Nothobranchius furzeri: one gene and its partners. The protein of the gene in region 4 interacts with the protein of the main gene of each other region in a pairwise test. Links are inferred from orthologs where the notes say so. Each region holds a gene or a part of one and is shown on either strand. Other genes may lie near its edges.

Region 1 (6,293 bases), on a different chromosome or scaffold from region 4:
TCCAGGTCAAGCTGTCATTGCCCACGTGAGCATTGAAGTCCCCCAGCAGGACAATGGAGTCCCCTGATGGAGCACTATCTAGCACTCGTCCCAGGGACTCCAAAAAGGGTGGGTACTCTGAACTGATATTTGGCCCATAAGCACAAACAACAGTCAGGACCCGTTCCCCGACCCGAAGGCGCAAGGAAGCTACCCTCTTGTCCCCCGGGGTAAACCCCAACACACAGGCAGAGAGTCTCAGAGCTAACAAAAAGCCAACCCCAGCCCTCCGCCTCTCACCCGGAGCAACTCCAGCAAAGTAGAGTGTCCAACCCCTCTCCAGGTCTCGGGTTCCAGAGCCAATGCAATGTGTCGAGGTGAGTCCGACTATATCTAGCCGGTACCGCTCAACCTCTGCCACAAGCTCCGGCTCCTTCCCCGCCAGCGAGGTGACGTTCCATGTCCCAAAAACTAGTTTTCTTGTCCGGGGATTGGACCGCCAAGGCTCCCGCCTTGGTCTGCCACCCGATTCGCATTGCACCGGACCCTTCATGTTCCTCCTGCAGGTGGTGGGTCCACAGTTGGACGAGCCCATGTATCCGGTTCGGGCTGGGCCCGGCCGGGCCCCATGGGCGAAAGCCCGGCCACCAGGCGCTCGCTCACGGGCCCCAACCCCAGGCCTGGCTCCAGGGTGGGACCCCGGTAACCCTCCGGGCCGGGTACTCCGACTCTTCATTTTAACCGCCATGAAAGATCCTTCGATGCAAGATGTTGGTGAAAATTAAAGCTACACTGGATGCAAACATATCTTGTGAATTTGCAGAAGCTTATTGAAACAACCTCACAGTGAATGGGTGCTGTAGTCAAAGCTAAAGGTTGTGCAACAAAGTATTAGGTTGTGCAACATTTTCTTTTGGTGGCAACTTTTTTTCCTTTAGCTCCAAAGGGCAGCAGTAGCTCAACAGGTTGAGCGGGTTGTCCAGTAATCGAAAGGTATCATGTTTGATCCCGGCTCTGGACAGAGAATTCTGCTGTTGTGTCCTTGGGCAAGACACTTAGCCCACCTTACCTGCTGGTGGTGGTCGGAGGGACCGGTGGCACCTGTTTTTGGCAGCCTCGCCTCTGTCAGTGCGCCCCAGGGCAGCTGTGGTTACATCGTAACTCATCACCATCAGTGTATGAATGTGTGTGTGAATGGATGAATGATACATTGTAGTGTAAAGCGCTTTGGAGTCCTTACTCTGAGAGGTGCTGTACAAGTGTGGGTCATTTATCATTTAAACTGTAATTCTATCTGTGTGTATTTTACTTTGTGTTTTTATGTGTTTTCATACCATGTCCTGATAATTGTAAAACACATTGAATTGCCTCTGTGTTTGAAATGTGCTCTAAATAAAGCTGCCTTGCCTTTTGCTGGGCAGTGTACTAATCAGCTAGTTGTTATTCTTCTGAGATTCTTATATTTTGTCCTCTTTATCAATTCGATAGGCAACGTTTAATTTTAACTGAAAAAATGGTTTCAAAAACTGTCAGAATTCCTGACAGTCTTCCCGTTCCGCTCTCTCCTTTTCCAGGTGAAGCTGTGACGCAGGGGCTATGGATGGTGATGATATTAGTGTATCACTTGTTTGGGTCTCAACCTCACTCATCTGTTACTGAATAGGTTCAAACATCGATGCTGTTTCTATGGAGCCACTTGACCCAGTAAAACTAACAGTTTTATTATAAAGATAAAGTTTCTTCTAGGACGCTTAAATCGGAATCGTGATCAGTTCGTTTCATCCAACTTTACAAGCCAAAAAATGTTTTTTTTCTTATTCACTTTATTTGTTCAACTGATCATTTTAAATTTGAAGCTATAATCCTGACAGCGACAGACGCTGAGGCGGGATGATGTGTGGAAGAAGAGTGTGGGTGCGCACGGCTCGGGTTTGTTGCGCGGCCACTGGAGCAGCGGTGAAACTGATCCCAGCTGCTACTGTTGGAGGGGGAGGAGGGGTGAGGAAATCTATTCCAGTCCCCTGTGGGTTGGTCACGTGCCCTCGTTTGGTTTGGGGGAACCGCGTCAGGAGGGAGAGGAGGAGGAAGCGCGCAGCTGCGCACAGCTGAGTTGGAAAAGCAACATCCTTCAGAAGCGGGTCCAGAAGATCCACATCAGTTGTTTTGTTGTTGTTTTGGGGCGTTGTCACGCGGTGTCTGCTGATACGCTGACACAACGCGTGTGATCACTGTGGCACTGCCTCGTTGAAACTTCTCTGCTCACGAAAACTACCATCCTGTCAGCGCCTGCCACAAGTCGACCTCCAGAAACACAGAGGGAGAGCTGTCACCGGGGACCGAGGTAGGCTTTCTGTCTCTTCCTATGGGGGCTCGGGGTGTTTGGGCTTGAGAGAACCGGAGCTGGACGGGTAAGCAGTTTGTGTGTGTGTGTGTGTGTGTTTGTGTGTGTGTGTGTGTGTGTGTGTGTGTGTTTGTGTGTGTGTGTGTGTGTGTGTGTGTGTGTGTGTGTGTGTGTGTGTGTGTGTGTGTGTGTGTGTGTGTGTGTGAGTGCACACAACTGATGCAGAAAAACGTCTCAGATTAATCAGCAAATGTACTCAAGCAAATTTCTCATTAGTGGTAAATTTTACATCTAGTAGTAATTATCTCTTTGCGCATGTGTTAGATAGTCTACAGTGATATTAGGATGTATTTAGCAACCTCTATTCATCGTTTTCCCCCAAGTGCCCTGCACTGATCAATAGTGACATTGTGTATTGATTGAGATGACATGACCTGAGCTGAACCCTGCTGTTAGCGCATTGTGGATGATACTTATTGACTTTTACTGTCAAAACTGTCAAATTTATGTTGTATTTTTATGTAAATAACAAAACTATAGATGTTATTGGATGATGAAGTAGTTGATCACTGAAATAGGATTTTTACCTTTTTGTGTTGGCTCCAGTGTTTTAACTGTTGAAGTAATGCTGCTGGTGACAGGAGACAAAAGCTGGTTTGAGTTTGGCCTCCAAAAAGCTGAGTCTAACATTCCCCCCCCCTCATTAATAATGCACCAATTTTAAACAATACAAATGCAGGGAAGCGGGGTCCAATGTCGAGTGTTGCTTCTCTCTATTTCTTATGTTTAGATGATGAATTCTCTATTAAATAAACTTTTCCTAATGTGAAGAGGACACATTCCATATGGGTGGTCAATGTCGATCAGCCATGGAGTAGAGCGTTGTGCTTAATGAACTGGTGTTTCGCCAGCTTCTAAAAAGTCATTTATGGGCCCGATCGTTCTTGCTCTCTTGTTGCTGGATGATCACAGCCTTTAATGAGACAGGTCTTTGTGCATGGGGCTTGACACTCTCTGAGACAAGGCTGCTAGTTGGGTGAATACAGCTGACACCCTCATCCGTCAGGCACCCACAGGGTGCTGCCTACTTTCTCACTCTATCCATTTACTGCCTCTTTCTCTCGTTTTCAGGCTTTCTTTCACTCCTGCGCTCTCCCACTGCACCCTCAGATGATAATTATTAAGACTTTATAATGATGACATGAGCAGTGAGGGTTTTTTCCCTTCTGTGGGGAGGAATGGGTGTTGGTGTCTACACGCTGGGATGATTATAGTTGTGACAGAGGGTTGGAAATCATTGCAGTTGAAGCATTGACTTCCTAGAATAGTTCAGCCAGGTATCTGTTTATCTCTGTGTTTGTTTCTGAAGCTGGAACTCTGTTCTCGGACAAAGCAAAGGAGGATCAGCCTTTTACCAAAGAAACATGTAAATATTAAACAATGTAAGATTTTAAAAAAGTACATGTTTTTATTTGTTTTGATTATTTGAGTTTTTGATTGTTAACTTGAGATGATAACGCTTAAAGAAAGATGCTTTACTACTTATAGGTTATGAATATGTAAAATACACACATAAAATACACACATAAAATACACAACAGCAGTAGCTCATGTGGTGGAGCGGGTTGTCCAGTAATAAGAAGGCTGCAGATTAAATCCCGGCTCTGACCAGAGATTGCTGCTGTTGTGTCCTTGGGCAAGACATTTAACCTGCCTTGCCTGCTGGTGGTGGTCAGAGGGACCGGTGGTGCTTGTGTTTGGCAGCCTCGCCTCCCTCAGTGAGCGCCAGGGTGGCTATGGCTATATTTTAGCTCATCGTCATCAGCGTGTGAATGGGTGAATGACTGATTGTGTTGTGAAGTACCTTGGGGGGTTGTAGAACCCTAAGAAGGTGCTAGGGTCTGTTTCTGAGCTGCAAGGCCTAGCTTGGTCCTTTGCAAGGCCAAGTGTCCACACTAGGGCTGGACAAAAGGATTATTTTTGTAATCAATTAATCTAGCGATACTTTTTTCGATGCTTCTAACTAATCTGTCAACTTAATTAGATTTCAATTCGATTAGATTATCGATTATTTCCCCATTATTTGACTTCTATAGCAATTTGAGTATTACTAATGTATGTATCTCAATGAAATAAACACACATTTCTTCATTTGAACACATTTTATTAAAAAAAATTCTAAAATAAAGTTGTTGTAGTAGTAGATGACGCACCTTATATCTATATGATCAACAATCTGGAGGAGCATGAAGTATAGAAAATAAGTTCAAACAGGATGAGGTATTACACTTTACAATCAAGAGTTCATTGTCATTTTGCTTTAGCAAGAACTTCAACAATGTTGGAATAGTGTCTACGACGGCCGTGACATTATCTTTAACATTTTTACTTTGGCCAATTTGCGCTCTCTCACATTTTCGGCTCTCGGCAACTCTCATAATCAGCATGTGCGCATTCAGAATTATTTTGCCAGCATGAGCCACAAATAAAAACCAACAAAACAGGTAACAGCTGCTGCTATTTGTTACCGCTATAGCAGCTTCAATGAGTTGAGGTTGAATGTTTTTCTCAGTGTGTGTGAGTGAGTGAATGAGACTGTGAGTGCGTGGGTCTGCTCGTGTGTGTGAGTGAGTGCATGTCTACGTGGGGGTGTTTGGATGGTAAATAACAGCGTTAAAATTTGAGAACTTACGATGTATTTTTGTTTGAAGGCACTGCTCCTGGATGCCGTTGTTTGATGTGCTGGTGAATGGCCGTCGTGGTTTCGTCATAGGCCATTTCCATTTTACAAAGCTGGTAAATGACTGAATCGCTTCCTTTTCTGTTGAAGTAGACCCATACTTTTGAACTGTGAGTGATTTTCGCCGACCGCCTCACTCATGTTGTCGCTACTCGCTGCTGCCGTGTTTGTTTTGAACGTGATGACGCATCGATGCACATTTTTTACGTGGACGTATTTTGGGATGAGTCGTCCCAGCCCTAGTCCACACCTCACCCTTCTTCGCAGTTATGGATGATGGACAGTAACGGAATGATCCATGTGCACTCCTCTCTCTCACTTATAACAAACGGTAGTGGAAAATTCTGTGCGCAGCCCCTCAACCCCACCCCAGCTGTCACGGAGGATGGACGGCAGCGGAACGATCCATGCGCAGCATAGTAGCTGGTTGCCTGCCCACCCGATTGCCGGCCATCATCACAATGGTATTTAGGGCTGCAGCTATCGAATATTTTTGTAATCGAGTACTCTATCGAATCTTTTTTTCGATTAATCGAGTACTCTAATAAATTACCCTTTTGTGTTTGTAAACCTTTATATCATATATTGATGAGCCAAGATGGCGCCGAGTATGGCTGCCTCGTCGCGAGCTCCACCAAGTTCCAACATTGCACGCTCCATACTGTACATTAATGCCACTGTTTTGCACATACCAACCTCTGTACATTTTACATCTTATTGTTTACTTTATTCATTTGTATACTTAGATTAGCCATTTTTATATTTTACTTGTTTTTACAAGCTGTATTTTTGCACAACTCTGTTGCTGTGAAGCTCGCACACAAGAATTTCACTCGCATGTACTGTACCAGTGTACCTGCACATGTGACGTGACAATAAAAGTGATTTGATATCAAATAGCATGTTATAATTATGAAATACCTCTTAAAATGAGCAAGCAATTGCCAGTTATTCAAGTTTTATTCAAAATTAGTTTGCATAACTTCAGCACTTCAACTTTACTTCACAGTAAACAAATGCCTGTGCAAAAAATAAGTAAACCTGAGCCGATTTTCCCCTCGTGCGAGAATCTGCTGGCCTGCAAGCCAGACAAAAACTAGGAGGATAACTGCTGAAGTAGCGCTGCGAGCGGCTGCGGCCCAAACAGAACCAGAACCGCTCACGGCGCAAACAGCTCGCTGGCTGTTTCCCTATTAACACACGTCCGTTTTAATTTCTACACTTTTTGTCTCA
Region 2 (5,550 bases), on a different chromosome or scaffold from region 4:
TATAATATATTTGTCTATATATGTATATGTATATACATATATGTATATAAATATATATGTTGAAGCTATTTAGTTTATTATAGGCTTAAGTTATAGCCTAGTTTATTTTCTTTATTTTATGCTAAAGGTGATTTGTTTGTTTTGCATTATGCTTTTTATTTATTATTTTGGCTAATTAGTTTATTGTTTATTGGTCAGGTGTGGGTGATTATTGGTATAAATAGGTCAAGGTGGGTGGAGCAGCCAGGGCTGCGAGGGAACATGGTTTTTTACCACACAGAGACAGAGAGAATGCAAAAATCTGTGCTCTTGCTGCTTGAGTGAATAAACCACCACCAAACGCAATTTTGGCATGGTCATTGCTTTATTTGAAACCTTTTATTACTTCGTATTAACTCCGAGGAAAGTAAGAGGTTTATAATAGTTAAGAAATTTATTTCTACACAATTTAAACAAGACTAACTTAAACACTCTGTGTACTGATGGAACTAAGGTGGAGTGAGACGTGATGAATGATGATGGTGTGTGTGTGGAATGTTATTCAGAGCCACCGGATCCGGAGAAGCAGTTAATTCTGAGTGGGAGTGAATGTTTCGCTCTAAACTTTAGTAGGAGATTTATAACACGCATGAAACGCCATCTGTCGGTCTACGTACCCCAAGGAAAGCCTCCGTCAGATCCAGAATGCCGAGGTCCTCAAGGACCCTCTTTGGTACCGAAGACGGTAGAAAAGCAGCGGTGCCGACCAAACTAGTCTTGGAATGCTTCCAGGTCACGACAGGTTATCACTGGCGTCTCCGAGACCCTGAAGTGGTCGTGAGGTTCAGCTTTTATTCTGAAAGAACCATTGCGGTCAGTTGTAACTTGCAACAGATTTTATCCAGCTTGTCTGAGGTTCTTTATGGCTGAAGAGGAAGTCCAGATGGCCTGTCCGAGACTTCTCTAGAACGCTTTAAACTAAAGAAAAGGTGGCGTGGGATAGTTTTTATAATTGTCATATTTTGGCAGAATTTGACATGCAAAAGAGGGTTTATACTAGGGCAGCACAATATATCGTAAATATATCGTTATCGCGATATCAGCATGCACAATATGCAAATCGCAAAGAACAGAAAAATATCGCAATGAATGGTCAGCTCAAGTGTTTGCTACACATGATGCATTCTGTCAACCAAACAGAAACGTGATGTTTTTTTAACAAATCACATAGAGCTCTTCACCCATTTAGCCAATTGGGTGGTTCTCACTGGTTAGATGCCTGCCCCCGAGGCGGAGGGCACTTGATTTTGATGGTTAGCAAACACCTGAGTTAACTTTGCTCTGCTTTTCCCGGGATCCACCGATTGCCTTTTCTTGTTCATTTTCATTTTCCCTTTCCCCACATCTTTAGCTTTTCTCATTTTTATGATTTATTTATTTCTTTGTTTTTGATAAGTTTTGTTCCTGAGTTAAGTTTTTATTCATCGCAATTAATGTCGTCATTGCAATATTAATCATTGTTATTGAACATCGCAGGTTTTCCTAATATCGTGCAGCCCTAGTTTATACAAACACCACAGATACCCACGCCTAGTCCCAGAATGCGAAGGTTCTGATTGGATCAGACAAAAGGAAGTGTGTCATGTGACTTTAGCATTATGTGTCCTTAGTGTCTGGTGCAAATGCCCAGGATTATAATAACTTGTAAAATACTATTGATCACATGATTATAATATCAAGTAATAACATTGTCATTTCACAGATTGATTGAACATTGGGCTCACATTATTAACAAAGTTGTTGATTATGTATTCATCAAAATAGTTAGTCGTCTTTGCTGTAACAAAGGTGAAGCAGTTCAGATGAGCAGAGTGCATGAAAGACCTTTGCCACTATCTCATATAGATTAGGCTGTCAGAGACTTTATGTCTCTGCTCAAGCAGACACAGCAGATCATGACCTTTAGGTCAAAAACAGGACATTCATGACGCTATTATATATATATATATATATATATATATATATATATATATATATATATATATATATATATATATATATATATATATATATATATATATATATATACACACACACACACACATACACACACACTTGTTTCCAGATATTTTGGACATTTTATGATGTCAGTCTTTTACGTTGTTTGAACTCCAAATTTTCTTTTTTTTTCACAAGGCCATGCTGTTTTTAAATGTACTATAGAAATAAAACTGGATTGGATTGAAGGTGAGTTTGTTATTTTGATGATAAATATAAACATATTGTTTTGACAATCTTCACAGTCCTGACCCCGAAAGACCCCATGGCAATAGAGAGATCAAACCTCCTCAGTATGCTGAAGTTAAGCACCAAGGTATTAATCCAGTCCTCCTTGAGTCTGGGCAGGACTCTGGACTCGGAGTACCCTCCTCTTCAGCAGTTTTTTATTGTCCTTGAACACTGCCTCAAACACGGCCTTAAAGGTGAGCCATACCAACATATACAGTAGGGCAAAAAAGTATTGTCAGCCACCAATTGTGTGAGTTCTTCTACTTAAAAAGGATGAGAGGCCTGTAATTTTCATCATAGGAATAACTCAACTTTGAGAGCCAAAATGAGGAAAAAATGTCCAGAAAATACTTTTTTTTTAAATATATAACTTTCTTTAGCATTTTTTTCATCTTTTACAACAGTAATGGAAAAAAGCAGGATAAAGAAAAGGGGAGGGGGTTACCAGGAAAAACAAAAAATAACCTGTGGGGGGTGGGATACATGGAATGTTCACATGGTAAAAGAGAAAATTATAGAAATGTCCACTTGTGACACAATATAAAAAAGTATGTCCTCATTTACTTGTATGTCAACCATTTAGTCCAGTGCTTATTATACATGTGCTTTGATACGCATAAAAAGGGTCAGTCTCTCCATCTTGCATATCTCCTCTACTATCCCCATGGTTCGACCAGGGGAGCAGTGACTTTGAGCCAAGAAGTCCACATTGTCTGATTTTTAAAGAATTTATTTGCAATTTATGGTGGAAAATAAGGTATTAGGTCTTCTACAAACAAGCAATATTTCTGCGTCTCACAGACCTGTAACGTCTTATGTAAGAGCCTGTCCCCCCATCTGGTGGGGGTGGGGGGTGGGGGGTTCTGCAAAGGAACCAGGATGACAGGTCCTTGTAAAGGAGAGAATGAATGGGCCATGTATCGTCACATTTTGAGTGAAAATCTCCTTCCATCAGCAAGGGCATTAGAGATGAAACATGGCTGGGTCTTTCTGCGTGACAACGATTCCAAACACCGCCCGGGTAACAAAGAAATGGCTTCATAAGAAGCATTTCAACATCCTGGAGTGGCCTAGCTTGTCTCCAGATCTCAACCCCGTAGAAAATCTTTGGAGGGAGTTGCAAGTCTGTGTTGCCCTGCGACAGCTCCAAAACATTGTTGCTCTAGTGGAGAGCTGCATAGAGGAATGGACCAAAAATACCAGAAACAGTGTTTGAAAACCTTGTCAAGACTTGCAGAAAACATTAAATCTGTCATTACCAACAAAGGGTAAATAAAAAATTCTTGAGATGGACTTCAGTTATTGATCCGACAATGCGATTTTCTGTTGTTTTTTTTTTCATATTATCTCACATAATTTAAGTATTCTTGTGATGAAATTATAGGCCTCGCCCCTCTTTTTGAGTGGAAGAACTTGCACACAATTGGAGGCTGACTTTTTTTGCCCCACTGAGTTTTCACACGCTGTAATATTTGAATCAAAACTAATAGAGTATTTACTTGGATATATTTCAGCCAAGAAATCCTTCATCAGTCACAAGTCCATATGGGGACCTCTTGAACTGGTTGAGAAGTTGTGTCCAGAGTCTGTCAACATTACCACAAGTGCCAGGGATCTTCCAGGAATCAAGTGAGTCTTTAAACCCATCCAGCCATCCTCTTCCACTTATGCGGAGTCGAGTCAAAGGGGCAGCAGCCTAAGCAGGGAGGCCCAGACTTCCCTCTCCCCAGCCATTTGGGCCATCTTCTCTGAGAGAACCCCAAGTTCTCGGCTCCTGGGCAGCCTAGAGACATATGCCACTTACACACTAGCATCGGCTCCACTCCACTCCGCTCCTCCCGCCCTAGCATTGGCTCCACACTGCCCAGATAGCCCCTGTCGGCCCTAGCCTGGCCCGGTTGATTCCACACATGCTTGCTTAGGAATGCAGTCAGAGACGTTTTCAGCTCGGGGTTTCCGCTATATATTTTTTGTCGTGCCATGGCAAAATAAAAGCCACCACACCTTCAGAAGGATGAAAAAAAAAAGTTAAAACAACATACCTTAAAGGGACTTTACGGAGTTTTGAATTTTTATGCTCGCGATTGCCCCTTCAGGCCAAAAGCGTAACGGCAGCTTCAATAGTAGGCTCGTGCACGAGGCGCGCATGCTGTACGTGCACACTCCTTAACGCAAATACAGCTGAGACAGTCCCGTGTGTGTGTGTGGCCCGGAGGACAGGAGAACGCGCAGCTAATTAATTAAATAATTTGATTCTGTACCTTTCTTTCTCTTCAGCACAGCCGACAAAGGTTTATGATGGGTCAGTCCGTCAGCTTCACAGACCATTCCCTTCCCTTGCTTGAAAAATTGTTCCAAAATGAAAGTTGAACCCACATCTTTTTTATCTGTGAATTCAAAGCCGTTCGGCGAGTCTCAAATAAAAATTTGGGCATCTTACTGTAAAAATATATACCATTAATGTAAAAACTAAACTCTACATAAATTACATTCACATCAAGAATCAAACCTGGATCTTCTGCTCAAGAGTCTGATGTCTAACTAGTTGAGCTAAAGCGCCAGTGAAGTCTGGGGTATCTGTAACTTTTATATCCTAGATGACAGCTGAAACAACGTTCAAAGAATGGTTCGGAGCGAAAATGGCTATTTTGTTGCTAATTTGCTGGAAATATCTAGAAGAAAGTAGCTAAGGGTCCTCAGAAATGTAGGTAGGTTCATCACTAGGCGTTAGGAACAGCGACAAAGTCGCTAAGTTGGCACTACCTCACTCTCTGTTGCTTAAGCTACGGATAGCAAATGGTACGGGCTATGCCTGAGCGTGAACGCGCATGAAGCAGCCCGCTCGACCCGAGCAGCTCTCTTTTTCTGTGATTTTACAGAAAAATCGACATAAACAGGAAATCACAGTAAAAATGCCAGGGCTCATTCTACAGGACCAGGGCATTGCAGGAGAATGTATGAAGAAGAAATTTATTATTTCTATGCATGTTTTGGCTGTCAAACTTCCATAATGCCCCTTTAATAATTTATTTTGTGGATTTACATTAAAACAATGTAAATATGAGACATCTATAGTCTATATTTGCACATGTATACTAACCATAATCAGTTTAAAATGATTTTAAATATAACAAAACTTTGAAATTTGTTTTTCTTTGAAAAACTAGTACTGCTGGTTTTTCCCCGCGTGCGAAGGCTCCCTAAACGTGCATCACGCGCAGTGCGCAGGGCACAGAGGGGCCAGAGGGGCACCAAGCAGTCAGGTTTATGAAAAGAAAGATA
Region 3 (5,991 bases), about 24 Mb from region 4:
AGCATATCCACCGAGTAGAAATAAAAGCAGCATATAGATGTGATCAATAGCAAACTTCTAAAGAGAAGCAGCTCTACTCTGAGTCGCCCCATCTCTAACCCCAAAATTCCACTACCTCCGCTCCGCTCCGCTCCGGCACGAACTCCACAGCAAAAACGGTCCCGTTGTAGTCAATCAGAGCTGTTCCACTACTGCGGCAGTGCGGCGCCGCCCACCGTTCCGCCATCCGGCAAAAATAGGATCGATCCTATTTTTGCCGGACGCCGGAGCACCTCCGCAGTCAATGGACAGAAACCACAACCGCCAAACAGGAAAGAGTGCAATCACAACTTCTGTTATTTCACAATAAATCGATAAACAAAAGGCGTTTTTTGTTTCATATGCACAGGTTTAACAACTTTTAACAACTATCAATGGCGGCTGAACTTTAAATGCACAAAAATAAGCCATAAATACAGTTTCTACTATCAAAGTAGTCACACTTTGTTGATCCAAACACTGCTGATCTCTCAACACAAATGATGGGCAGATTAAACAGTTCATGTCGATGCTTCTCCCACACAACGGGTGTTTGGATCTAACTTCCGTGTTTATTGCTCGGACTGTATCGCAAGATCTCGAAAATCCCGCGCATGCTTGTTTGCCCACCTCAGGTCTCCGCACCGGAGCGGAGCCATTGTAGAGCGGGTACCAGTAAAAACTGAGTTCGGAAGTGAGCGGCTGCGGAGCGGAGATAGTGGAATCTTGGGGTAAGGCTGAGTCCGGCCACCCAGATGAGGAAACTCATTTTGGTAGCTTGTATTCTTGTCCTTTCAGTTGTTACCCGAAGCTCATGATCATCGCTGAGGATCAGAACAACGATCGACTTGGTAAAATGAGAGCTTTGCTTTCTGGCTTAGCTTCTCTTCACCACAGCTGTCTGATTCTGCATCACTGCTCTGATCCGCCTGTAGATCTCCTGCTTCCTCCTTCTATCACTCATGAATAACATACTTAAACTCGTCCACCTGAGGTAGAACCTCTCCTCCTCCCAAAGCCGGTTCTCCACCCATTTCTGGTTGAGAACCGTGCCTCAGATTTAAAGAGTTGATCCTCATCCCGACTGCAAACCTCCTAAGCAAGAAGTCAACATCAAACTTAACTTCCTATAAAAGCAAAGACCTATGGACTGCAATGCTAATGCTAACTTATGCATAAACAAAAACACCACTGGACTTTGGTGTTTAGTGTTCACCTACATGATGGGAAGTCCACTTGTTGTGAGAACAATCTGCATTCTGGTTTTGCTTATAGCTCCTGGACCAGAGGAGGATGTTCCTTTTGATCACTGGTTGGGTTCATCCAGTTAAGGGCAACGAAGCTCCATTGTTCCAGGTGACTGTTCTGCTGAAATAAAGAAAATGGAAGTTAAATAGCATAAGATTTAGATTTGAAATGGGTAAGAATAAACAGTACAAGTGCACACAAACATTTTAACCTTCAAATGTCCACTACCTAGGAGGAGAAAACTAAAAACCCAGACTGCTGACCTGAATCAGAGTACAATTTATTATTTTCTAAACAAACATTTCATCTTTTAGCAGGCTATTTACAGCTAACAGGTGACCTTATTGGACCCAAAAAAAACAGTCTAATATATTGATGAAAGCAAAAAGGAACTAGAAATAAAAGTTCGAAGGAAAGTCAGACATTCACTAGGCTTCCTTTCATTATGCGTACCTGTGAGTAGAATCAGAAGGGTTTTACTGCCACGTGTGCGAAAAATCACAACATTAGGAAAGGAGGTGATGGTGGGATCCCACTTGAGGTCCTGGGTGATGGTGGTGCCCAAGAAGCGACATGAGTCCACCATCGCGATGGGAATGTCAGACAGGGTTATGGGGGGGCTGTGTGCTTCCTAAAGTCCACAACAACCTCCGCTGTCTTCTGGCTGTTTAGCACCAGGGTGTTGTGGCAGCACCAGGACACCAGCCGCTCCACCTCCATTCTGTAGGCTGACTCATCCCCGTCAGAGATGAGTCCGATGACGGTGGTGTCGTCTGCAAACTTGATAAGCTTGACAGACTTGTGGTTGGAGGTGCATCCGTTGGTGTAGGGGGAAGATCAGAGGGGAAATAACACAACCCAGAGGGGAACCGGTGCTGATGGTCCGCAGGCCCGAGACATTCTTCCCCAGCCTGACTTGTTGATTCCTGTCCATCAGGAAGTCAATGATCCATCTGCAGATGGAGTCAGGCACGTTCATCTGGGACAGTTCGTCTTGAAGGAGGTCTGGGAGGATTGTATTGAAGGCAGAGCTGAAGCCCACGAACAGGATCCTGGCGTAGGTATCCGAGGAGTCCAGTCCACTTTTCGTTGATATTGTGTAAATATTTGTGTTATTCTGCTAGACGCATGTCAGTTTTACTGGTTACATAACTGCTATGACTGCAAATCACCTAACCAATCATCTGTTGTTATCAAGACAAAGTAGCGCCAATCAAAGTAAACCTTTTTGTAATATGCAACAACGATACAGAACTCACCCAACAGTCCACAGCCAGAGATCCGTGTTGTTTCCATGAACTTCAGAGCAACACGGTTTCCATGTTTTAGTGATATCAGGACGGATTTACAAGTGATGCTTTTAATCAATTTATTTACAATGTAAATAAATACAATAAAGAAAGTAGAAGTGCAATGTGGGATATTTTTAACTGCATTAACTTCCTTTGATAACTAGGGCTTTACAACTTCCAGGAAGGCCTTATATGGGAATACTTGCAGAGAGATCAGGGCAGTACCGGTGTCGGTACAGGATCTGCTCGGGTGCAGGATCGGCTCGGGGTCCTTCGACTGCCGATGACGTCACATCACTGCAAATCTACTCAGCTTTCACACACGTTTTGGAAAGACATCAGCAGTTTTGTTAATAAATTCTTGTTTGTTAACACCTAAATGTTTTCTTTATAATTGTAATTTGTTAATAAAACACCATATTATCTTTGTTTTGTAAAGAATGTGAAACTGCATAAAACCAACATCGGACTGACAAAAAAACAGAACAGTTCTTATATGGGAAGCCATATCTGTTTGTATTAATGTGGAGTTCGTCTGTATATTTCCTTAGTTGTTATGTAAATACATTCTTTGACTCAAAATATTGCTTGGTGTCTTTCAATAAAGTTCTTATATTTTATTTTGCCCCATTTCATCAACATCAAGAGCTTTTGAGGGTCACCGTTTATCATTTGCTTATATTTTACATTTCCTTTAGAAATTCAAACATATTTTCTCCAAAAAGTGTTGATTTTTGGACTACAGGATTACAACCGCTAAGACTACGACCGCAAAGTTGTTGACCAATCAAAATCATAACGTGATAGCATAACTTCTGTAAGCTTCATGTTCAGCCAATCAACTACTTTGACGTCATCGGCGGTCGAAGGACCCCGAGCGGATCCTGTACCAACGCCAGGCCTTGCCTCTGTCAGTGCGCTCCAGGGCAGCTGTGGCTACACTGTAGCTCATCAGCAGGAGGACGTCAATGTGTGTGTGGGTATTCACCTGGATGAAAGCTCCGCCTACTCACCTGCATTAGTCAGGTGTTTTTAAAATCTAATAACTGATCCCAGCCCAGCATGCATTATGTTCAGAACCAACAACAGGAAACAGGTGGATGGATGAACCGCGGTTACATTGAGAGAGCGGGGCTTAAATATTATACTGGAACCAACCGGTAGGAGGCGGCTTGGGGCGAAACTTGTGGTTAATACTCAGGTTGATTTTCCAATCTGAAGAACTAAAGAATCAGCCTGAAGACACAAACTCCTCCGACCCCTACTTTTCTTCCTACACCGACAAGCATTGGGCCCTATAACGCTTCGTGATCATTTACACGGAAAGGTTAGGTGTAAAACCACTTTAGTTCCCTGACCAGTGAGTGGTAAATTAGCCTGTTAGCTAAACCACGGCCTGGGGGGTGACCCCGATAAACTCACCGAGTCCCGCTGGGCAGGCACGATCCGTCTCAGAACAAATCTGGCTCTATCCGTTGGTTTCCAGCTCTTTAACTCCTGATTGATTCTGAATCTGAAGAAAGTTTTGAGTGCAGAATAATGGAGTAGAATAATGGCGATCTCCTTCTTGTCACTTTTTGGCAGACCAGCCGTGGGGTTTGGAGCCTGCTGCCATCTAGCGGCAAACATGAGTCACTACACCTAGGACCAGCGACTAGGTTGCCCCACCAAGAAAAACCTAATGAAAAAATTATTTGTTTGTATTTTCTATTCCTTCTAGTGACTAATGATCACAATCAATATATTTTTTATACACACTTCCTAGTTTTTTAATTACTACCTTCTACCAAACGGTTGAGATGTGTCTCTATGGTAAAAGTAAATAAAGTAAAATAGACATAACAACTAGGGAAAAAAAGTCAGCATTATACTCATTTTGAAATAAAAATAACTACTCAAAAATTTTACCCACTTTATTCTGGTAGTAAGACACCAAACAGTTAGATTCCATTTCAAATTTGGAAGTTATTCTAACAAAGTGTAAAAAAAAGATACACAAATAATGATCAGAAAGATTTTATACAAGTACTGTAAAAGATGCTCAGAACATGCAAGTTTACTTCTGACCTTACATTGTAGTGTTGAAACAGCATAAACATTTTTTATTTTCCATAAAATTCCAAAAGTATCCTATTCACCGTTTCCACTTTGCACTGGAAATTAGAGAACACACTGAATTTTTTCTGGTTCTTTTCTTTTCTCATTTATGATGCAACTGCACCAATACCTCCTGATCATTAGAACCTCTGGTGGTACACTGCAAAGCATTCCTGATTTGCATTCAAGCTCAGAAAAACATTGCATTTCTGACATTTCCATCTTGACACACCCTTTGGACAATAACTGCATCGGACTCGCTTGTCACAGTGAAGTGGCCAATGCCCACAGCGGTCGTATCGCACATCTGGTTGTGGTTGTGAGGGTTTTGTGATGTGGCGTTTCTTCGATGGGGGTGGAGAGCTGGATGATGGTCGGCCAACTTTGCAGGGTTTCCCTTACATAGGCGTAGCCGTGGCGGGTCGCCACGGCTGAAATCCCACCGCCACGCCTACAAGATCCCAAGTTTTTTTGTTTTTGTTGGCGCTGTTTCTCGAAACAGCGGGAACTACTATGTTGTTGCTTGTGATCACAGCCGGCGGGCAGCAAGGAGCAGGCAGGGCAAGGTGAAGTTACAGCATAAGTTACTGAGTTTAAAATTAGAAAGGTAGCAGTGGATATAATGCCTTTTGGTTTACATGTTTCAATAGCATGAAGATAAACGAGTGTTGACGATCTTGACAGGTTTTCCTCCAGTGCTTACTAGGCCACATTTTACTCCCCCCACCAGGCTAAGCATCACTTATTCATATAAAATTTATTTTTTCATGTCTGACTTTAACCGCATCTAATACTGTATTACGGCATGAGCGCAACAGCGACAACTTAAGATCGATGCGTGAGCAGCCTGAGAGGTTGGGTGCTTTCATCTGAACCCTTAAAACCTCCAGCAGGCTACGTTGCACTATTGACGTGTTAGTGCGCGGCGCTAACAACTTAGCGACGTGACATGTCTCGGAGAAAGCGTAAAAACACGTTGGACGCTTCTTCTGAAGTGGGAAAATAACACCGCTTCTTAAGCAGAGCACGACGTCGCCTCTGCCGACTGCATGTACAGTCTATGGCCGAGCCGGACTGAGCTCGATAACATTGACCCAGCACAGCCACTAGGACGTTGGAGCTGCCCGTGACTGTCTGATAGAAAACCAGCAGGTTTCATCAGACTCGTAAAGTTTCTTGTTTTTGCTGGGGACCCCCTGTATTTTACCGCTCCCTCCTGCAGTCTTCCCCTATTAACATTTAAAATGATTCTGTAAACTCTGTGTATCAATAGAAAAAATCTCTGTCTCTGCCAGCTGCAGTAAATGTAGTCTCCAAATAATAAATAAGAGGTGCA
Region 4 (5,511 bases):
GGGGGTGCGTGGGAATTTGCCCAACCAGTCTACATGTGTTTTGTGGATTTGGAGAAGGTGTTTGACCGCGTCCCTCGGGGGGCCCTGTGGGGGGTACTCCGGGAGTATGGGGTACCAGGCCCTCTGATATGGGCTGTTAGGTCCCTGTATGACCGGTGTCAGAGCTTGGTCCGCATTGCCGGCAGTAAGTCGGGCTCGTTCCCAGTGATAGTTGGACACCGCCAAGGCTGCTCTTTGTCACGATTCTGTTCATAACTTTTATGGACAGGATTTCTAGGTGCAGCCAAGGTGTGGAGGGCATCTCTTTTGGTGGCCTGAGGGTCAGGTCTCTGCTTTTTGCAGATGATGTGGTCCTGTTGGCTTCATCAGAACGTGATCTTAAGCTTTTGCTGGAGCGGTTTGCAGCTGAGTGTGAAGCAGCTGGGATGAGAATCAGCTCCTCTAAATCTGAGACCATGGTCTTGATTCGGAAAAGGGTAGAATGCTTCTCCGGGTCAGGGATGAGGTCATTGCCCCAAGTGGAGGAGTTTAAGTATCTCAGGGTCTTGTTCACGAGTGAGGGAAAACTGGAGCGTGAGATCGATAGGCGGAATGGTGCTGCATCTGCAGTGATGCGGGCGTTGTACCGGTCTGTCGTGGTGAAGAGAGCTGAGTCAGAAGGCGAAGCTCTCGATTAACCGGTCAATTTACGTTCCTACCCTCACCTATGGTCATGAGCTTTGGGTAGTGACCGAAAGAATGAGATCGCGGATACAAGCGGCCGAAATGACTTTTCTCCGATGAGTGGCTGGGCTCTCCCTTAGAGATAGGGTGAGAAGCTCAGTCATCCGGGAGGGGCTCGGAGTAGACCCGCTGCTCCTCCACATCGAGAGGAGCCAGTTGAGGTGGCTCAGGCATCTGGTCAGGATGCCTCCTGGACGCCTCCCTGGTGAGGTTTTCCAGGCACGTCCAACTAGGAGGAGACCTAAAGGTAGACCCAGGACATGGTGGAGGGACTATATGTCTCTCACCTGGCCAGGGAACGTCTTGGGATTCCCCCGGAGGACCTGGCCAGGGAACGCCTTGGGATTCCCCCGGAGGAGCTGGCCCAAGTGGCTGGGGAGAGGGAAGTCTGGGCCTCTCCACTTAGGCTACTGCCCCCGTGACCCGACTCCGGATAAGCGGATGAAAATGGATGGATGGGTATTGACACGGGCAAAATTCTCGATAAGTCAGAAATTTCGATAATGATACATTTTCGATATATTGCCCAGCCCTCTACTGCCCTAACAGGTAAGGAGACATTTGTGCCACAAAACATCTAAAAAGTGATATTTTATGGTTCCTACAGCTGACAAGTTTATATTTCAGCTTCGGCACATTAAACAAATCTAACTGAAAGTTGCACATTTTATTAGAAAACCAGCTTGGCTATCACATCCCACTGCTCGTCCGTCAGTGGCTCTTTTCCTCTTCAGCTGTGACAAAAAGGTGAACCTTCTTGTCAGAGTGCAGCATTTGTCCGGCGCGCTGCGCCCCGACGATGGCAGCCAGTTTGTGGGCGTCATATCGGGAGTAGAGGGAGGTGCAGGTCCTGCTGGCCTCCTCCCTCTGACCCCCTGCAGCTAGCATGTTGCACACCTCGCTGTAGAAATGGGGGATGCTGGGTAATCCATAAAATACCAGATTCTGGATCCCCTTGATGGTGTACCTGAATGAAATAAATCAATTACAGAGTTTAAGGTCCACAGCTTCTTAGTTAATCAGTTTCTTTCCTATGGGAAAAGCCATTTTAGTTTGTTTTTTTAATCCAACTAGGGGCAGGTAACACTTATTATAGCAAATTCTTGAGGATTTTAGGATCAACTTGTTGTGTGTTGTTTTTGCAGCCACACAAACCTACACATCATGCACGGTGCTGGTTTTACACGACTGCTCAAACATGTGGGTGCATTTCCTTGTTTTCCATGAAAACAGCTTAAATTAGTCTGACAATTAAAATATACGTATTAACAATAAAATGATTCATCTCCACTAGTTTTAAGCCTTGGTTTCTTACAGTTCATTACATTTGTTTGTTAAATATAATAATAAAAACATCTTTAGATTCATGCATATTACGAAAGAAAAAAGTCATATTGTCCATAAATATATAAAATTTCAATCAATTTCAGAAAAAATTCCAAACTGGAAATTTTAGCTGCATTTTCTTCTTACTCAGGTCACCCTGATGGGTTTTAGATCCAACTTTACAAAGAAACAGTAACTTTGTGACAGAATTGGATTAAATGTTAGAAAAAAACAGACCTCTTGTAGAAGTGGAAGCGTTCAGTGAAAAGCAGAAACTGTTTCTCTCCTTTCCGGAACAAATGCCTGGCCCGACACACTTCCGATTTGCTGGAATATTCGCAGATGGAGGTGAAGTTCATCTCCTCTTTCTTCATGTGGTTCCTCAACCGAACGTAGTCGAAGTAGGACGGGATGTAGATGAGAGTGTGGGACATGACCGAGTCCTTGTACTGAGGCAGAACTTTATCTATGAAGAACTGAAACCTACAAGTGGAAAATGTCAGAGCAGCATGGATGTGAAGATACTCACTAAGGCTCTCAAGTATAAAAGAGAGTAAAAATACACGACGAGCCTTAAAATAAAGCAGATCAATATTCTTGGAGACCTTACCGAGCGTCATGATCAACAAAACTCTCCGAGGAAAACATCTGAAACACGTGAGGCAGCTGGACCACAACCTGGCAGATGGAGCCCTCATGTGGCACGTTTTTAGTCACAACCTGGAGCACGAAAACAAAAACACCTGCAGGTTCATGTGTGGTGCATTCAAGTCCTCGCCTACAAGTCTGAAAATCAAGTGAAGCCCACAGAGCTGCAGCAAGCTGGGCAGCGGTGTGGAGGCTAGGGCTGAACGATTTTGGAAAATAATCTAATTGCGATTTAATTCACAATTATTTTCTCAAGGGGCTTTTCTCATTTTTCAACTAACAGAAGCAAGATCTATGTAACTTGTACTGAATATAAACAAGTTTATGTATCTACACATATCAACAAGTTTTTTTGTCTACACATACATGAACACTCACAAGTAAAGACAACATCTTGTATTTGAAGGTGCAATGCTGCAGCCAGGAGCATCCCTTGAAGGAGAATAGGTACTAGCATCAACTGTGAAAACTTATTTGCAGGAAAGAAGTTTTGACGTGTTGTCCATGCAGAGCTTCCGTAGTTCAGTTACGTTCACAGCTGCTAGCCAAAACTCAGTGGAGTTGAAGTACAGTTTTCTAGCTTTACAAAAATATCTGTCTGTACTTCTTTGATTAATGGCAGTTTTAACTTTTTATTAGACTCCAAATGTAATAATTTGGCACGTTTCTAATTCGTTATTTGCAAGAATCTATTCGGCAATATTAGCATTAGCATCCCTATGGGTTTTTCAATGTATATTAGCATTGTGCTAACCACTCGCTGCCAGTCGAATCGCAGCCTTTGCGATAAGAAAATCTCCTTTTGTCACATCGCAATTTAATTGCATATGCAATTAATCGTTCAGCCCTACTGGAGACTAAACCATCCTGAACGTCTCATGCAAATCACACAGCCTCACTTTTTGGGAATTGGAATTATAAACATGCCCAAAAAGAAATGTGGAAGTCTGGGAAGGGTTGGTGACTGAACTGTAAATTGTTGGAAATCTCAGGTTACGTCTTGATTTCTGGGACACCAAGTTTGGAATTACTAATCTATTCCCACAGGAATCCCTCCTCCTCTCACAGGATTCCCTCAGACAACCAGAATCCTCCTTAGAATCGAGGTTTAATAAAGTCTCCACAAAGACTGACCTGTCCCCTGTAGTTGGCACAGTGTTTAGTCAGGATGTTGTTGATCTGCGGGTCCTGGATGGAGCTGAACACCAGCGTCTGCCTGTAATGTTTGGCCCAGTTGTTCAGGTTCCACATCCTGACCCTGGAAAAGTCCACACCATGGGAGTCCAGCGGCTGCAGGTTCATGTGCTTCATCACATGCTGGTGGGGATGACAACACGGAGAAGTTGTGCTAAAGTGTTTATGATCCACCACAATACATCAACTACTATTGTTTACAGGTAAAAGGATGTAAAACGCTGGAGGAGTTGATTTGATGAAGAAAAGTTTCTTTTAAGCTGTCAAGTTACTCCTCTGGCAGCAGGTGGCGCCACATCACCTCAGATGCATGATGTTCTCACCAAGACATGTTCCCAGTTCTGCATGAGGAAGACATCAGCCTGATCCAGGATCAGGAGCTCGATGGACGACAGAAAGTCAAAGTCTCTCTTATATTCTCCGTCTGCTCCCAGCACAGTGCGAAGGCCGAGCGGAGACGCGATGATGATATCTGATGAGTAGAAGGGAGCGTAGAGACGGATGCTGCTCCTCACGACGGACACACCTGAGGAGGCCGGCGCAGTCTTAGAGATAAACTCAGAGAAATGGTGTGAATGTGATCCTTCAAAATCATACCAATCCTGAAGTGGTCGTCCACGTTTCCTGAGAAGATGGCGTTGTAATCGTCTGGTCTTAGCAGATTAGCTGGTTTGTCATTAGGGTCTTCTCCAAACTCCTCCTTGAACTTCTTCTTGTTGCTGACAACGATCTTCTTACTTTTCGTCTCTAAGAGGCTGATGAGCGTGTGAACCACTTGCAAGGCCCCGCCTCGGAACGGAATCAGAATCAGAACCTGACACAGAGAACACAATCCTCAGAAACGCCACATGAACATTTGTGTTTTTATGAACCAGCTGTGTAACTGCAGTTCTGATCTTTTTAGGATGATTCAGAAAGTTTTCTTCTGCAGCATTTTCCACACGTACAAGCTCTATTCTTGCAACGCAGATTCAATTTTACAATCTACAGTAATCCCTCTCTACTTCGCGGTTCGTTCATCGCGGATTCGCGGATTTTTTCTTTGGAGCATTTTTCAGGGGGAATTCGCAGATTTGCGTTATTTTTCACTGATTCGCGGTATTTTTCTATGCGAAATATCAAGAAATTCTTGTTTTTATTCATCAATTTCATCATAAAATGCACTTTTTGTAATAAAACTAAAAAAAAACAAGTAAAAAGTTTTTTTTCTTGAGTTTTACCCACAAAAAGAGAATGTGATCATACGATAATTCAATAGGGAGCGTGGTTTCACAGACGCGGAAGTGATAGCGTCGGTGAAACGCCAGCTGATCTAGGAAACCTAGGTAATGTTGGTTAAGGAAAACATCTCTGCAGCTGAGGAAAACAGAAATGTGACCTTTAGGTGTTTACCTTTGGCCGGGTCAGCCCCTGATCTCTGGGTTCTTCGTACGGCTCGGCTCCAGCTTTGGCCGCAGTTTTCTGCTCCCTAATCTGAGAGTTGTGCGCCAGGACTCTGGAGTTGGACTTGAGGACGTGGTTGAGCACATGGAGGCAGTAAGCTCTTCGAACCTCTGGACCCTGATTAATGGGACACATCTCAGGATAAAACATGTCCTTATATGAACCCATGAGGGTCAG

Evidence for each region.
Region 1: the proteins of utp25 (region 4) and mid2 interact in binary tests that used the Homo sapiens proteins (3 or more experiments, as listed by UniProt). The link is inferred for Nothobranchius furzeri from reciprocal best matches to the Homo sapiens genes UTP25 and MID2.
Region 2: the proteins of utp25 (region 4) and rufy1 interact in binary tests that used the Homo sapiens proteins (3 or more experiments, as listed by UniProt). The link is inferred for Nothobranchius furzeri from reciprocal best matches to the Homo sapiens genes UTP25 and RUFY1.
Region 3: the proteins of utp25 (region 4) and mipol1 interact in binary tests that used the Homo sapiens proteins (3 or more experiments, as listed by UniProt). The link is inferred for Nothobranchius furzeri from reciprocal best matches to the Homo sapiens genes UTP25 and MIPOL1.

What each region holds. Positions count from the first base shown.
Region 1 is NC_091741.1:89,374,954-89,381,246, reverse strand, and holds the start of mid2 (probable E3 ubiquitin-protein ligase MID2), read left to right. Parts: upstream 1-2,183; 5' UTR 2,184-2,320; intron 2,321-6,293. UniProt on the Homo sapiens protein: E3 ubiquitin ligase that plays a role in microtubule stabilization. Mediates the 'Lys-48'-linked polyubiquitination of LRRK2 to drive its localization to microtubules and its proteasomal degradation in neurons.
Region 2 is NC_091741.1:103,300,318-103,305,867, forward strand, and holds part of rufy1 (RUN and FYVE domain-containing protein 1), read left to right. Parts: intron 1-2,282; coding exon 2,283-2,462; intron 2,463-3,782; coding exon 3,783-3,897; intron 3,898-5,550. UniProt on the Homo sapiens protein: Activating adapter involved in cargo sorting from early/recycling endosomes. Regulates retrieval of proteins from endosomes to the trans-Golgi network through interaction with the dynein-dynactin complex.
Region 3 is NC_091758.1:16,332,193-16,338,183, reverse strand, and holds the start of mipol1 (mirror-image polydactyly gene 1 protein), read right to left. Parts: upstream 4,120-5,991; 5' UTR 3,981-4,119; intron 1,387-3,980; 5' UTR 1,277-1,386; coding exon 1,239-1,276; intron 1-1,238.
Region 4 is NC_091758.1:40,758,241-40,763,751, forward strand, and holds the end of utp25 (U3 small nucleolar RNA-associated protein 25 homolog), read right to left. Parts: coding exon 5,284-5,511; intron 4,706-5,283; coding exon 4,489-4,705; intron 4,418-4,488; coding exon 4,215-4,417; intron 4,015-4,214; coding exon 3,832-4,014; intron 2,770-3,831; coding exon 2,660-2,769; intron 2,533-2,659; coding exon 2,287-2,532; intron 1,691-2,286; coding exon 1,435-1,690; 3' UTR 1,376-1,434; downstream 1-1,375. UniProt on the Homo sapiens protein: Component of the ribosomal small subunit processome for the biogenesis of ribosomes, functions in pre-ribosomal RNA (pre-rRNA) processing. Essential for embryonic development in part through the regulation of p53 pathway.